2 linked regions of the Cricetulus griseus genome follow. The protein of the gene in region 1 interacts with the protein of each later gene in a pairwise test. Links are inferred from orthologs where the notes say so. Each region holds a gene or a part of one and is shown on either strand. Other genes may lie near its edges. The genes, in order: Rbbp8 and Lims1.

Region 1 (3,824 bases):
AAGGATTCCTTTCTTTGGGGCTGGCTAAGCTATCCGATGCTTGTTCCTGAATCTTAGGAGTAAAGGCACAAACAGTTTCTTATAGTAAGAGCTTGTATCGGTAAAATTGAGGTGGAGGTGAGTATGAAATATTGACAGCTTCTTAAGATAGAACAGGGGCCAGTAGGCTGCACTCTCCTGAGTGGGCTGTTAGAAGAATCAGTGTCACCCAGTCCTGCTTGTCAGTGGGGACAGACATTTGTGTCTCCTACTCAGTGGTTGTCTTTGAAGCTCTGAATATGGTCTATTTTCAAGGCTTCTCTCCTTGTCATGCGTCCTGTCATAAGAGATAATTAATTGTAGGGAGATAGCTTCTAAGTTATGTACATTTGACTATGAGAACAAAAGGTTTCCTTGACTGTGTGAATAATTCACACCAGGGCCCCACAGTGTTAGAGGTTATCCAGTTTACCAGTACAAGAGGGAGTTGTGCCCAATAATTGATGAATACATTGCTGGAGTTTTTTTTTTGGGGGGGGGAATCCCAAAGGAGGGATGCTATGGTTTCATAAGGGCTTCACAGGGATGACAGTGACTATTCAAAAGGCAAGTATCCCCAAGGCTTTACAAGTGGGGATTTTTCTCCCGTGGAATTCCAAGGGGTAGCCTGGTGAGTTTATTGACTAAAATCTCACTGTATGATCTTATGGACCACAGCATTATGTAAAAGCTGATTCATACGTTTCTACTTTTAGCCACTGGGTAGATGGGTAGGTATTTGGCAAACAATGAAACCTGGAGTGGCAGGAGAACATAAAAAACTGGGGTAGAAAAACAAAAATATACTGGGCAGTTGGTAGTGAATGCCTTTAATCCCAACACTTGGGAAACAAGAGGCAGGTGGAAATCAGTCTGATCTACAGAGTGAGTTCTAGGACAACCAGAGCTACACAGAGAAACCCTGTCTTGAGAAACCAAAACACAAAACAAAAGAAAAACAAAACTCTATTGATTGTCTAGATACTGAATGGGTGACATAGAGGAGTCTAGGGAAAGGAGCACAATGAATACACAAAACATTTTCCCTTAGCTTCCAGAACAGCAAAAACAATTTCTTTCCTACCTCATGTCCTGAGCACCATCTGTTTCCTTTGCTGCTTCTGTTAATGTTTCGTTCTCTCCCTCTCCTCCTTCTGTATTTTTTTATTTTATTTATTCATTTAATGTGCAAAATGTTTGTGCTTCCACAATGACTGTGGAGGTCAGAGAACAAAGCCTGGGACTTGGTTCTCTCCCTCTACTACGTAGATCCCAAGGATTGAACTCAGTAGTCAGGTTTGGCAATAGGCCTTTACCCATGAGCCATTTAACTGGGTCACACCTCTGTTCTCTTTAAGTTGCTATATCCCTTGGGCTGAAAAGATGACTCAGTCATTCATTAAAAAGCAAGACTCACAGACAGACCATAATTTGCTATATCCCAGAGGTCAGAAACCTAGGATGCTTTTCCAGTGTCATGGCTTTATGGAATGTCTACTTTCTGTTAATTTCCTGTCCTCAAATTATCTTTTTACTCTGGATTTCTTGCTCAAAGTCTACATGCACTAATTGCTTACTAATAGATCCATTTGAATGTTTAGCAAATAAAAATCTGTCAGAATGAGTTTTTGATATTGTTCTCCAAACTTACTTTTTCCTATGAAGGAAAATCAGTCAGAACTTTAGTATAAGAGTTGTGAAAATGAAAAGTTAAGCTCTAATATTTATGCCAGTGGTTGAAAAAAATAAATTATCTGTTGGGAAATACATGGAACGTGGCTTAGACATTAACAGTTTAAGTTGATGAGTCACAAAGGCATCTAACAATTACTTACAAATGCAGGTCTGGGATTCATTAGAAGTCAAACATAGAAATTCAGATTTGAACTAATTTTCAGTAATGAATATAAAAGCCTTGAGCAAAAATGCTATGAGGAAGGAAGAGCCTTAGAAATATTCTACTATATAGAAGTCTAGAAACCAAATAGTCAAAAAAGAAACGAGAAGTTTTGAGATGGCCAGTGTTTAAATGTAACATGTGATACTTAGCAAAAATTTTAACTTGAAATTGCAATTATCTTCTTAAGAGTTCCAAGTAGATGGAATACCCTTTACTATCACACTACCTTTAGAACACTAAGTATATTAGATATTTCCTCTGAGAAGATAAAGTACTCACAGCTGTGGTGATATTTTGTTTATGCTATTGACAAATAAAGCTTGCCTGAAGATCAGAGTGTGGAACTAAGCCACTAATTAGCCATAGAGGCCTAGGCAGTGATGGCACACATCTTTAATCCCAGCACTTGGAAGGAGGAAGCAAGAAGATCAGGAGTTCAAGGCCACCATGGGCTACACAAGATTGAATCAGTCTAAAAGAGAAACAGAGCTCACATCTTTGATCCCAACACTTGGGATGGCAAGCCTTTAATATCAACACTAGGGAGGTAGAGCTGGGAATGATATGGCCAGGCAAAGACAGGAATATAAGGAGGAAGGAGACATGAGCTCAGAGCAGTCTGAGGATTCAGTCTGAGGATTTGTAGGGACAGCATCGTCTGTTTGGTCTGAGCCTTGGTAGAATAAGAACTCTAGTGGCTGGCACTCTGGTTCTCTGATCCTTCAGCTTTCACCCCCAATAGTTAACTCTTAAGTTTTTATTATTAAGACCAAAGAGAATTCATGCTACACACAGCAGAAAACAGATCTAAACTTTCTGTGAATCTTTTCTATTGTATTACTAGTATTGAAAAAATTAATAATTATAAGATTAAACTTTCTCACATTTTTAATATACACATACTTCTTTATATATTTACATATATAAATATAAAGTTGATATATATGTATGTATGTATGTAAAGAAAATTATAGAACCAAGATTAATTTCTTAGTTCTAATACTTCAGTTGTGTAAAATGTTTGCATAAAGATGTGCTCAGTGGAAGGTATACACTCAACTTCTTCTTTGAAATATTTCCTTAAGTGGAAGTTATTTCAAGTAAAAGAAAGTAACAGAGAGAGATGGCTCAAGTTGTTGAGAGCACTGGCTATTCTTCCAGAGGCCCTTCTGTAATTCCAGTTCTGGGTGATCCAATGCTATCATCTGGCATCTATGGGCACAAGGTACATATGTGGTGCACAGACACATACACATAGGCAAAACACTCATACACATAAAGTTTTAAAAAATATCTGGAAAAGAAATTAACATAAGAAACATGAAACTTTTAAGCCGGGCGTTGGTGGCGCACGCCTTTAATCCTAGCACTCGGGAGGCAGAGGCAGATGGATCTCTGTGAGTTGGGAGGCAGAGGCAGATGGATCTCTTGTGAGTTCGAGACCAGCCTGGTCTGCAAGAGCTAGTTCCAAGACAGCCTCCAAAGCCACAGAGAAACCCTGTCTCGAAAAACCAAAATAAGAAACATGGAACTTTTAATAGTTGTAATCAATCCTCTACTAATTAGCTTGGTAACTTAGTGAAACCAGTATAATGGAAAAGATATAATTAAAGAGAAAACAGACTTACTGTTTGGTTTCTTTGTGGCAGCAGACAATTCTTCATTTGGTACCTGGGGGAAGCTATCTGCCAAACAAGATTCATATTCTTCATGTGTTGTCCGATCAAACATTTCTTCCAAGCTATCATTTATTGTTATGTCTCCATCTATAAAAAAGACATTGGCTTAGCAGCAGGCAAACTTTGGCCTTCTATGAAGCCCATGAACTTACACGTTAATATTAACGACCATAAAGTAGTATAATAAGGTCTTTGAGAGTACTTGTTTTATAAAAGATTCTTTTTTT
Region 2 (3,824 bases), on another chromosome or scaffold:
GTTAGTGGCTCTCCACACCATCTGTCTCCTGGCATCAGTAGTGTAGACTGAAGAAATATCGAAAGGTCAGAAGCTCTGCCAGTGGAGCAGACTTGCTTATGGTAGAGGCCTGTGAAAACAAACAAAAAAGCAACTTGTAAAATTATGTAGAATAACTGGGCCAGTGACTGTTCAGCATAGGGAACCTTCTCTATTTCTAAAACTTTCAGAAACAAAATAGTATTTACGTGAAATTCTCACCTGATTCTTTGCCTTTCATACTGCCTTTCATCTGAAGCACCAGTGGTTAGAGAAATTATTCATTTGATTACATCCTGTGTTTTGAGGTGTAGTGGTATTGCTCATGAGGGAACTGTCAAGAGTCACTCAATGCTAGCTACTGTCTGGCTTCATTTTCCTGACCTGCAAAACATGATTGCATACCTACCAGGAACTCTGCAGAGTTTGCAATAAGGATCTGATCTGTGATGGATATGGTTCCCTGTAAGCAGAGAGCCTAGATTCTACGCCTGTGTCACTCATAATCTAAGAAGCTAGTTCAATGGTATTGAATTCATCATCCACCTCTGAACCTATCCCTTTATCTGGAAAAATCATCTTTATAACATAAAATTCTGTGATTTTAAGATACATTTTATAATGCTAGTATTCAGTGTTTTCTTATGTACTGTTTAATAGGACTGAGGCAGCTTGTATAGTTTTCAGAGGTTTTAAGCAGTTGCTTTCAACCGCATCCGGCCAAAGGTATAATTTAAATTGAGGCTATAATATGATATTTAGTTGAATGAAGTTTAGATTTTGTTCTTCAAAAAGAAAGAAACTGACTGACTTTAAGATGTTATCTCACAGAGGGAAGGAGCTAAGAAGCTGTTAGCAATTGATGGTGCCTAGGGGAGGAAGAATCAGTTTTCTTTTGCATTGTGGCTCATTGCAGGTTGCCCTGCTCCAGTGGTTGGTGCTCTACGTTCATGCACGTGTGGCAGCACTGATTGGACTTAGTGTGTTACGAGGAGAGGTGGAGTCATGAAGTTGGGAGGGTGATTATGGAATGGAGAGTCCGGGGGGAGCTGGAGGAGGGGTGCAATATCATCTAAATATTGTATCCATAGCAAAGACATTTTTATTTTAAGTCATTAACATGGACATTTTAATTAAAGTTACTTATCCAGCTATAAGCCTGAGTCCTTGTGGGGAACAATTACTCGTGGATTATTTATTTGAGACAGAGTCATACTGTGGCTCTATGGCCTAGGCTGTTAATGAACTTGTGGGTGCAAGCAACCTTTCTGCCTCTGCCTCCTTAAAGGCTGGAACTACAGGTGTATCCCACTGCATCAGCTAAAGGAACTCTTGGCTTGGATTTGTGTTCTTATTATCTATCATTGTTTACAAAAATGCTAAAAAGGCTAAAGTCAAGCAGAAGCAAAGCAGGGGAAACCCAAGGGCTTTGTTAATGAGACTGCCATTTTAAGTTACAGTATTTGTGAAACCTGATAAAATATGACTTTTTATGTCCAGGTAGAATTTGCTCCTCAGTTCTTGATGTCATCTGGTCTTAAGCCTAATTACAAGTTAGCAATCTGTATCTTGTCCTTTGTGTGTTTTAGCAACATGGCCAATGCCTTGGCCAGCGCTACATGTGAGCGCTGCAAGGGGGGCTTTGCACCTGCGGAGAAGATTGTGAACAGTAATGGTGAGCTGTACCATGAGCAGTGCTTCGTGTGTGCTCAGTGCTTCCAGCAGTTCCCAGAAGGACTCTTCTATGAGGTGGGTCAACTGAGCTACCCTTCTCTTTCAAATTCATTTCCAAAGATTGAATTGAAGTGCCAGGTATTTAGTACCTGGAAGGTCAATGATGAAGTGCATGTGGGACATGGAGGTCACAATCTAAAAAGATCTTGTGCATACCTACCTATATTCATGCCCATCATTCACCTTATTCCAGAATCTACAGTGTCTTGTGACTGTGTCAGACTGAATACTTCTACTCCAAGTACAGAATCCTTTTACAAGGCTTGCAGCAGAAGCATCTCTGGCCTCCCTCAGTGCTTGCCCTACATGGAATCTTCCCATCCCAATCCTGTGTCTTCCTTTATCAGGATATCATTGGACATCCTCCTGAAAGGGAACCTGTGTCACCTACTTCCTGATCTTCAAGCCATACTCTGGAGATTTTAATGCATTTTCTAAAGAGGATCTTGTTTGGAATTGAATATTGCAGGACCCACACTGTGTGCCTTGAGATATTTCTAAACACTTGTTTTTCTCAGTGTCATCAAATGGTCTGTGTTTCCACCATTATTGAAACCCTTTTATCACAGTAAACATGTACTGTGGAGATGGCCTAGGGAGGCTCACCCCCCCTCCCCCGTGTCATGAGTGAAAATGAGAGTGACAACTTTGGCATTTTTTTTTTTTTTGCTACCACACCACTTAGCATATTTGCAAATGTGTGTTTTTGTATGACAATATATAGAATTATGATACAGCTAAAATGTCTGTTCTTTGATTTCTTTTTTAGTTACCATTATTTTTATGTGTATGTGTGTTTTGCCTGCATATATATGTCTGTTTACTTTGTGCATGCCTGGTACCCTTGGAAACCAGAAGAGGTTGTGAGATCCATTGGACCTTTATTTAAAGAATGTTGTGTGCTGCTATGTGGTTATAGAAATTGAACCCAGGTCATCTGCAGGAGCAGCCAGTGTTCTTAACTGCTGAGCCATCCTCCAGCCCCTTTGATTTTTTTCTATCCCTTTTCTCCTACCAAACTTAGATTTTCCTGTCTCCATGATTGAGGAAGGAAAGGTAGTTTATAATGGTCATTACTAAACTAATTATTACACTGAGACATTTTCCTACGCCTCTGGGGAATGAAATTTGCAGGTCAGCCTGGAAAACATCATCTGTCTCCACAGATGCTTAAAAAACCAAACTTCCATTTATGAATTGTCTGTATGTAACTCAAGGAAATAGCATTTAACATATAGTCACAGAATAAAATTTTATTCTTTTTGTCAGGAATGATGGTCTTAGGACTGGGAAGGACAGGAACAGGAGAGGTCAGGGTCCAACTGCAGGAGAAGAGAAGTTGGAGGTAGTTCCCAGGATTTATGGATGGTGGTGGGCGGGCCAAACCTCTGCTGAGTCTGAATGGCTGTGATTGGTACAAAGAAGCACAAGTTGGGCCCCTAGTGGCTGTAACAGCACGGGAGGGAGGGTTGCTCTTAGAACTGCTGTGACTCAATTTAGAAAACTCTAAAGTTGACAAAAGGATCTGAAATCGAAAACTCAACCAGATAATACTGTTGTGATTTTAAGATCTTTATGATGAATTAGGGAAGACATAAGGTAAATATGAAGCTTTTATTACTCATGCCTAGAAGTCAGTACACATAGGTTAGGAAAGTATAGGCAGAGGTAGAGACAGGATCCATGGGTCAAAGCTCCATTGGGTATCAGCATACAAAAGGTCTCCTGTGAAGAGTTGTCACTAGTAGGTTTAAAGCAAGCAGACACAATTTAGGTGACTGTGCTGTGACGTCTGGATCAGTACATTCCATGCTGGGTGTGGGAGTCAGCCCAGCCACACAGTCTGTGTCTAGCTGACCACAAGTAGGAGGTTGTCAGGGACAGTGATGTATGACAGACATCTGGATTGGTAACACTGTGGAGCTGGGAGGCACAAAACTGGAGACAGTTAGGGGGACTGAACCCTACCTCTGGTATGAGAAAGTATAACTTCTGTTCACAGTGGATGTCAAAACAACATGTCATCATAGACATCCATGACAAGTCCCACAGCATACAAAGAGGTCCCAGAA

The links.
Region 2: the proteins of Rbbp8 (region 1) and Lims1 interact in a two-hybrid assay, tested with the Homo sapiens proteins (2 studies listed by BioGRID and IntAct). The two-hybrid records come from large-scale screens. The link is inferred for Cricetulus griseus from reciprocal best matches to the Homo sapiens genes RBBP8 and LIMS1.

What each region holds. Positions count from the first base shown.
Region 1 is NC_048595.1:224,638,520-224,642,343, forward strand, and holds part of Rbbp8 (DNA endonuclease RBBP8), read right to left. Parts: intron 3,685-3,824; coding exon 3,547-3,684; intron 1-3,546. UniProt on the Homo sapiens protein: Endonuclease that cooperates with the MRE11-RAD50-NBN (MRN) complex in DNA-end resection, the first step of double-strand break (DSB) repair through the homologous recombination (HR) pathway.
Region 2 is NW_023276807.1:2,689,513-2,693,336, reverse strand, and holds part of Lims1 (LIM and senescent cell antigen-like-containing domain protein 1), read left to right. Parts: intron 1-1,607; coding exon 1,608-1,767; intron 1,768-3,824. UniProt on the Homo sapiens protein: Within the IPP (ILK-PINCH-PARVIN) complex, binds to F-actin, promoting F-actin bundling, a process required to generate force for actin cytoskeleton reorganization and subsequent dynamic cell adhesion events such as cell spreading and migration.